Nothobranchius furzeri: one gene and its partner. The protein of the gene in region 1 interacts with the protein of each later gene in a biochemical or structural test. Links are inferred from orthologs where the notes say so. Each region holds a gene or a part of one and is shown on either strand. Other genes may lie near its edges.

The links. The genes of interacting proteins can lie anywhere in the genome.
Region 2: the proteins of nedd4a (region 1) and ndfip2 form a complex in vitro, tested with the Homo sapiens proteins (3 studies listed by BioGRID, with this or other methods). The link is inferred for Nothobranchius furzeri from reciprocal best matches to the Homo sapiens genes NEDD4 and NDFIP2.

What each region holds. Positions count from the first base shown.
Region 1 is NC_091749.1:60,023,890-60,028,137, forward strand, and holds the start of nedd4a (E3 ubiquitin-protein ligase NEDD4), read left to right. Parts: upstream 1-1,448; 5' UTR 1,449-1,655; coding exon 1,656-2,945; intron 2,946-4,248. UniProt on the Homo sapiens protein: E3 ubiquitin-protein ligase which accepts ubiquitin from an E2 ubiquitin-conjugating enzyme in the form of a thioester and then directly transfers the ubiquitin to targeted substrates. Specifically ubiquitinates 'Lys-63' in target proteins.
Region 2 is NC_091754.1:54,373,735-54,377,692, reverse strand, and holds the start of ndfip2 (NEDD4 family-interacting protein 2), read left to right. Parts: upstream 1-1,158; 5' UTR 1,159-1,308; coding exon 1,309-1,335; intron 1,336-3,958. UniProt on the Homo sapiens protein: Activates HECT domain-containing E3 ubiquitin-protein ligases, including ITCH, NEDD4, NEDD4L, SMURF2, WWP1 and WWP2, and consequently modulates the stability of their targets. As a result, may control many cellular processes.

The DNA.
Region 1 (4,248 bases):
TACTAAAAATCTTTACATAGTAGTAATAAGGAAAAGATTTGCTGTAGAACAAAGATCAACACAGATCAAGCAGCTCCTTCAGCCACTCGGAAATGGAACCAAACTGAGAACATTGATGTACAAACTGGACTTTTACAAATTGCCTTCTCACTCTTTTAACCTGTTGTTTATTATTAAATTAGTAGAATTTTCCCCTAAATTGTTCAAAATAGTCTGTACTGTAGAGGATTAAAAACTTGAACTGTTTTAAAAACATTCAAGAACTAAACCATCGATGTAGCATATTCCAGATTAGATGCTGCATACAAACAGTAACTGTTACACAGTGACTGAGAGGTTGGTTAAATACCTAAAAGTAAATAAACACAGCTTAAGAAACTAGTTCATCCACCTGCTGCACCTGCTGATTGATTTTTCCAGTCTTTACTCGAACCACACCTCTCTGACTCAGCTTGTAGTGACTACACAGCAGACTGGTTCTCTGAAAAGTTGATTAAATACCGCCTTTGTTTTTGTTCACTTTGATACCAAACTCATGGAGTTCTTAAGGGACGTGTCTCTGTATTATTGCCGCATGACGTCATTCTATATAAGCATTTGATATTGTATGGCCATTGCATTACTGTCACACGGTTCTGTTGGTTTAAAAAATAGGTTAGGAGTTCCACAGCGTCCTGCAGTGAGTCATGTCCTTATCCCGGCCGTGACTTCCATTATTATACTTTGGAAGCAAAGTAATGCCCTGAAATAGGTCAGGCAGCCTCACTGTTAATAAATTAAACTGTCAACATCTATGGAGAAGTAATAAGAGCAGCATTGACTGTTACATGAGGCATCAGATAACCAGTTTCATGACATTTATTTTTTCTTAAAACCTCACGTTTTTCTCATTAGGCAGCAGCTGTCCTGTTCCCTGCAGGAAATATTTAAAGTCACTGCTAAAACACTAAAAGGAGCTCTTGTGTTATCCTAATGAGCTCTGTGATTTACTGTCTGAAATGTGCTTTTGCAACCTGCTCCTTGGTTTGATGCAGAATTTTGTTGACATTCACTCGTTTGATTTCCTGTAATTCAATAGCAATGGGTAAAACTATTTGTGGGGCACAGAGCAGCAGAAACATTAGTAGCATAGCAGCAGCAGGAGTCCTGAGCGAATGGGCCAACGCAGATGTGACACTTTACCAGAGCTTCAGTCTAAAATGCAGCACGTTGGACTGTCATGCTTTTGTTTGTTTTTCTTTATTTTCAGAAGAAAAATGCTAATTTGTCTGTTTTTTTTTTTGGAGGCACAGTCGAGTTACGCTAGGCTTTTATTAGAATGCAAAGCTGAGGAAAAGGTTTTCCAATTATCTTTAGAGTAGCTTTGTTCTTCTTTATTGGGCCGAGGAATTTTAAAGGGGCTAATGGTTCGGTTTGAAAGGTCATGTGTTTGGGTCATGTCTCCAAACAGAACCACTGGCCTGCTCTGACTAAAAGCTGAGATCAGCCTGGAGAGGAATGTAGCTTGTCACCAGAGCTATTTTGGCAATGCGCAGCTACTAATGATTGTGATCACAGCGCATGGAGCTGTTGCGTTTGCTCTCGTTTTTTTTTTCCACCAGCAAGTTTGATCATGTACGTCTCGCCAGCCCTACAGGGATTAGTGAGTTGAACAAATGTCACATCAGCTCCGTTTGCATTTTGCGTCAAGGAGAAGCAACACGGACCCCCTGTCGGAAAGCCTCAGCAGCCAAGGTGAAGAGAGTGGAGTCAGTCTGTCGGCTCATGGCCCAGCGGAGAATCTGGCGCACAGCTCTGTTCACTTGAAGGTGACTCCTCTGTCACCAGACGTTGCCAGCAGTCAGTGCTCTTCAGTGTTCATACCCAGGGTTCACGCTGGAGGGTGTAATAAGAAGAGCGTTTTGCAAATTGCGCTGCAGCCCTGTGGGAAACTCGGTGGAAAACTGGATTGCAGTTTAGAAGATGGAGAACCAGGGGCTTGTGAAGTTGGAGCAGGTACCGGCTCTGACGGAGGTTCATGCAACAGCAGCATGGCCAGCGATGCGGGGTACTGTAGCAGCAGCAGCATCTTTGAGCCAGAGCTTCCAGAAAAGCACAGGACAATCCAGGAGAGGACTCTGCTTTGTCGCAAGTCCAAGGTCCCGCTGCGACGATGCTCCTCACTGATTATTATTCCGAAGAGCCCATGTAGCACTCCACCTGCTTCCCCAGGATGTGCTGTGACTCCGTTTGCTTACCCACTGCCAAAGGGTACTAATCAGTCACATCTTCAGACGTCTTTCAGTGATTTCTCCCAAGAGAAAGTAGGGGCGAGCTCCACTGTAGCAAGTGGACACCAAACATCAAAACGAAGCTGCTCATCTGAACTTAGGGACATGAAACACATGGTCCACTTTAATATTCCTCTACAGGATGGAACAAAATGCAAATCAGAAGGCAATAGCGCGTTGATGGAGCTTCCGTCAGCCTCAGACAGACCTAATCTTCACTCTAGCAGCGTGCTGCTGCATTTTGCCCACCAGAAACCAACAGTATCTACCAAGGGAGTTGTGGAAATGGTTGCAGCCAACGAAGCTCACCACCAAGTTCACCTATCTCAAAGGGAAAACATCAATCACAGAAAACTGTATCGCAGTACCTCTGCTTGTTTGTTTTCTTCATCCAAGCCATCAGAGAAAAACGATAAAAGCGGTTTGTCTGGAAAAGATCAAATCGGGCTTGGTGAAAAGCATCGTGCCATACAGAGGAGCTTTTCCCTCGAGGTGCCCTACCCTAACACTGGAATTTCATGCCACGTTTCTAACCCCGAGCTCTGCAGCCCTCGCTCCCCACATGTGCACATTCATTTATCCCCATGCTACCCCGGAAGGTTGCGAAGCTCTGTTACAGATGTTAAGAATCACAAAGAAAGTAATGCAGTAAAGGGTTCAGTTCAAAATGACAAGGTGAGTATGACATTTCTAACTCTTTAGAGGCTTTATATTGATCACCTAGTAGCCTTTTGTCAGCACTCTAGACCTGCTGCCACTGTTGTCAAACAAGTTTGAGTAGATTCCACTCCGTCATTGGTTCAGCCTCTCCTGCATCAATGTTCAGACATATCGAGAGTTTCTAATGAGTAGTATAAATAAACACCGCTTGATTAATTGTTTGTTGTAAACTTGCAGCTTTTAACTGATTGGTTGTTTTCATCAATGAAAATTTCTAAGTTCCAGTACACTGGAATAATGTCACCCTAAAGTCTTAAACTGTTTTTGCTTTGACTTTAGCATTAGACTGGTTACAAGACTTCTAGTAACTGAGAAGCCCTTTAACTTTAAGTCATGTATTTAACAAGCTGTGTGTGGACAAACATTCAGAGGTGTTCAGTTACATTACAGTAAATCCATCTGCATATTGGATACCAAGAAATGTGTAAATTAGAAAGACAGGTTCTCCATCTTGTGAATACCAGCATTCATCAGTGTGAAAACACAATTTCAGTAGAGTTTTCCACTTTTATTATTCTGTTAGCACTATAAGTGATCAGGTTAAGTATTTACCATGGCTATTTATAGAGTTGGGAAGCGCAGTGCCCCATGCCGATATAAATAAGGTGCCTCTGAAATATTCCCCCTGACTCCGGATAGTCTGCTGGTCTGTAGCACTGCCCAAAACCTGTGGATTCAAATTTAACAGCATGATACTAGAGTGGTGCACAGTCATGTCGGCTATCTGCGTACATGTGTGTGTGTGTGTGTGTGCTCGTTTCCAAGTAAACGGGTGGCGTGCTACCATCCCTGTGGGTCCCCCCACCAAGCAATGTTTGTGAAATATCAGCTGTCAGTCTCTTCCTGCGTTTAGCAGGTTGTCAAAGAGGGTCCACTTAAGACTTTTTAAATCTGCAAAGGTTTGTTTTCATATCCTTTTACTAGGGCTGAACGATTTTGGAAAACAATCTTAATTGCGATGTTTTCTTCAATACTGCAATTGTGATTGAATTCACGATTATTTTCTCAAGGGGTTTTTCTCATATTTTTCAACTAACGGAAGCAGAAAAAAAATGTAACTTGTACTGAATATAAACAAGTTTATGTATCTACATATGTATCTACATATCATATCAACAAGTTTATTTGTCTACACATCCATAAACACTCACAAGCCAAGACAAAATCTTGTATTCGAAGGTGCAATGCTTTGCAGCCAGGAGCACATCCCTTGAAGTCGCATAGGTATTGGCATCACCTGTGAAAATTTATTTGCAGG
Region 2 (3,958 bases), on another chromosome or scaffold:
AACAACAACAACAACAATAATAATAATAACAATGAAGTATGTCCATTAAAATTTTTCAGGATAAAGCAATCCCATTTTCATAATAATGTGTAATGCTATAGAACAAATTTGGTAATTCACAGTTGAGTACTGCTTTTGTAAAATTGTTACGTTTTAAAATATATTAATTAAGCTGAGTTTCATTTGTATAGCCAACAAGCACAATGATCACAGTGCTTTACAGAAAAAACCCCCAATAAAATTCAAATCAAGTTTAAGTAAATCTAGTAAAATAAAGGATTATTGTGATTTATCAATCTAATAAAATATAGTCAATTAGAATTCAAGAAATTATAACATCATGGATTAATGCAAAGCTAAAAATGCGGAATCATGAGATTTTTAACACACCAATGGTACCCAGGTGGGTGCAGGGGTGTCAGTTGTGAAACCCCAGGGATTAGTTATCTCGAATATTTTTATTAATCAAAATACCATACTATACCATTCTATTTTTATTTATATAGCGTGTTTAAAGATTGCATGGCAGCTAACCAATGGGGTGTGCGTGGAAGGAGCAAGATGCTCAGACAGAACAAAAACGGCGTTCCCAAAGTGACAAGAAACAAACATTAAAAATAATTATTTTGAAGTGATCATGAAATGTAAAAAAAAAAAAAAAAAAACCTAAATAATATTTTCAATGACATTATTTGCCTTTTTAAAACAGGGTTTATTTGTCTTGCTTAAATAGAATATGATGCCTCAGTGAACACCCATTGTGCTTTAGGGCATAGTGACTACTATTCTATTCTATTCTATTCTATTCCATTCTATTCTATCATATCATATTGTAGCATATCATAATCGCTGACTTTAGTATTTGTTAAAAATTGTAGCAATCTTGTTTTTTTACTCCAACCACGAAGTGCAAGTGGCTCTGTGCAGCTTTTTATTTTGTTTATGTCACCATAAATGTGTTAATTTTAATGCACTTTGATATATTCTTAAGCATTCTTTACCCCGTGTGTTTTGTTGCATTTAACGGAAAACGTTGGGAAAGTGTTTTACTTTGAAATGTCAGATCGGAAGCGCCCCCCCCCCCCCCCCCCCCCCCCCCCCCCTCCCAGCCTGGTTGACTGTTGCTCAACGTTGGCTTGTCTATTTTCCTCAGCGAGCTCATCGGGTCAGCAGCCATTTCTGTCGCCGTGTTTCTCCTCCTTTGTGGAATCAAATCTTTCCGTGACTGAGAACTCCGAGTGCATTCACAAGTCAGGCTCGTATTTTTGTTTTCTGGCCTGGCTTGTTTGCCGGCTGAATCTAGTCGGGATGGACCCAGCAAGCCGATACCAAGTGGTGAGTAAATCCCGAAGAGCAGGGATCAAAACAGTGGTGGATTACTCGGCCTTCTGCTTGAACCAAAACGGGCCTTGTTTTAGAAACATAAAAAAATATTTGCGCTTTAGTTGTTTAACTCCAACTTATTTTATTTACACATAAATACTCTCCAAAACCCTCTACCTAATTACTCTAGTCGTTTTTTATGTTTAACAAATAGCTTAAGTCTTTTGTTTTGATATGTGACAAACTACTTCCGCATTGGCTAAGCTAACATTAGCCGGCACGGCCTTACACGTTTGAAAAGATGTGTTTTTTTAAACAATTTATTTCCAAAATAGTTTTACAAAGTTTAAGGGACATTAAACAGTCCTTTTCACAATTTATGACAATATTAGATAAGCCTGATAGCACGTGTTTTAGCATAGAAGGGACTTTTTGAAGTTGCTTCCGTTATATATATAAAAAAGAAAAGTCCCGGAACATCTTAGGTGTGTTCTTGATGTGTCTTTCTAATTCCATGCTTTCGTTCTTTTTAAACACAGAAACAGTTTTGTTTACCTGTTTTGTAGAAAAGTCCCGGAGCGGAAACGATAGGCGTGTTTTTAAAGTGTCTGTTTACTTTGTAGATTTTAATTGCAGTACAATTTAAAAAAAAGGTACTTGAATATCAGGTGTGGTTTAGCTCAAACAAATACGTATCAGTTATTTTTAAACGGTGACATTTAATATAAAGTCAGTTTTTTTCTGCTTGTGGTTGTTTTTTTTTCTGTTGATTATCCCGCAGGGTAGCTCAACAACACACCAGCTTCCAGGAATTAGGTGGCCAGGGTCTTGACCGCCTCCTCTCAGCTTTCTGAGGGCTTGGGGGGGGGGGGGGGGGGGGGGTATTTGGACACAGAAGGCGGTTTGTGGCGGCGTTGTTAGCTTGTTATGTAACGCTTCATGCACTGATCCGTCCTTGGTTCAGAGCCACTCGTCCACTCACCGCCGGAAAGCAAATTCTCAACTTTATCATGACAAACACATCTCTGAAGCTTCTCCAGGTATTAGTCACATCCTTGGTTAGGACTAAGGGTGCTTCCCTTGTTTAGAGTTGAAAGAAAATTGCCCTTTCTTCATGCAGAACATTTTTTCACGATCCTTATTTTTTAAAGTCTACATCAGGACAGGACTATGCAAGAAGATTTGTTTTTCCAAAACTCTGACTTTTGTTGTTGCTATTTTTTTTGCAATTGTTTAGTGGCAGCTGCCTCCCTACTCACCCAGGAATTTGATTTAAGGCTACAAACAAGCTGAACTCCCTCAAGAAACGAGGTGGAAAAGTTTACCAACCTGCGTTATTTTTATTCAGACGAAGAAAATGTTAAAGATTGTGATTTTGATGTTCTCTCAGGGCTCCTTCCTGGCTTATCTTTGGTTTACGAATAGCGCTACGTGGTTATCTGTGGTTTTGGGTGACGTCTGATTCGGCCTCGAAGCGAATTTAGAGCTTAGAAACTGTGAAACCACAGTCTCATGCTCAGATTGTTGGGTAAAAGAAACAAAAATGTCCCATTGAGTCAGCTCGTCTCAGCTTTGTTGACACGTGAGAGTACAGACTTGCCTGTAGATGTTTTTCTTCTGAAGGTGAGAAGGACTTGTTCCCTCGCTTCACCCTCCCAGAGTTCATTCCAGGCACTCTACCCATCATGTCCCATCGCTCCTCTGTAATTTCAAACGGCTCTTGACTCTTAGAAGGAAAAATGGGCCTAACTTTGCAGCTGGGCCTCTTGGATTTGGCGGAACGCTTCATTTGGTGATTGCGTTTATGCAGATTGCTTTTCCAGAGACGTACCAACGTGGCCTCTGGTGTCCTAACGCGTCAAACGCTGCCAGTACTCCTGTATTTATTTATTTATTGGAGCAATCCTGTGATAATTCAGACCTTTTTTTTTTTTACATTAGCAGTAATTTATCAGCTGTTGACCTCACTTTTCACTTAACCAGGACACTTGGATTATGCGCAGATTAGCTTTACTGTTAACTCATTCACTGCCAGCCGTTTCCTGATCGCTAGTAGCCTTCGATGCCAGCGTTTCTCACCGTTTTTACTGTGTTTTTAAGAGTCACGGAACGTTGCGCGCTAGGATGATGTCGATGCCAAAACTAAGAGGAGACTCACCTCTTACATCAGGAAGAAGCCGTGTGTTTCGAGCGTTATCCGTTCTTTCATAATCCGTTGTCGACTTGTGATCGGCAGACGCTTTTCCGGTTCGCGCCTCACTTTTTTTACAGGAACGGCCCAAAACGATCTCCTAATACATGGATGTTCTGCTTCCTGATCACGTGACGTGTGACGCATGTGGATGAAGAACGGCTTCAGGGCTGAGATGTTTGTTCTCTCAGCGCGGGGGCTCGTTCCGATGCTCAAACAGTAAAAAAATGCAAATGACGACTTTAGTCGTCAATAGCAGTGAATGAGTTAATGCATCTTCCAAAAATCAATTCTAAGCTAGAGACGTGACGTTGATAAAGGTTTTAGTTCCACTTCAGCCCTAAATAATCACAATAGCAGCATAATTGATCCTAAAAAAGAGCAATATTTAAATTATCTTCTCATATTTTACAAGCATCCAGCGGCCTAGAAGTCTAGACAAAC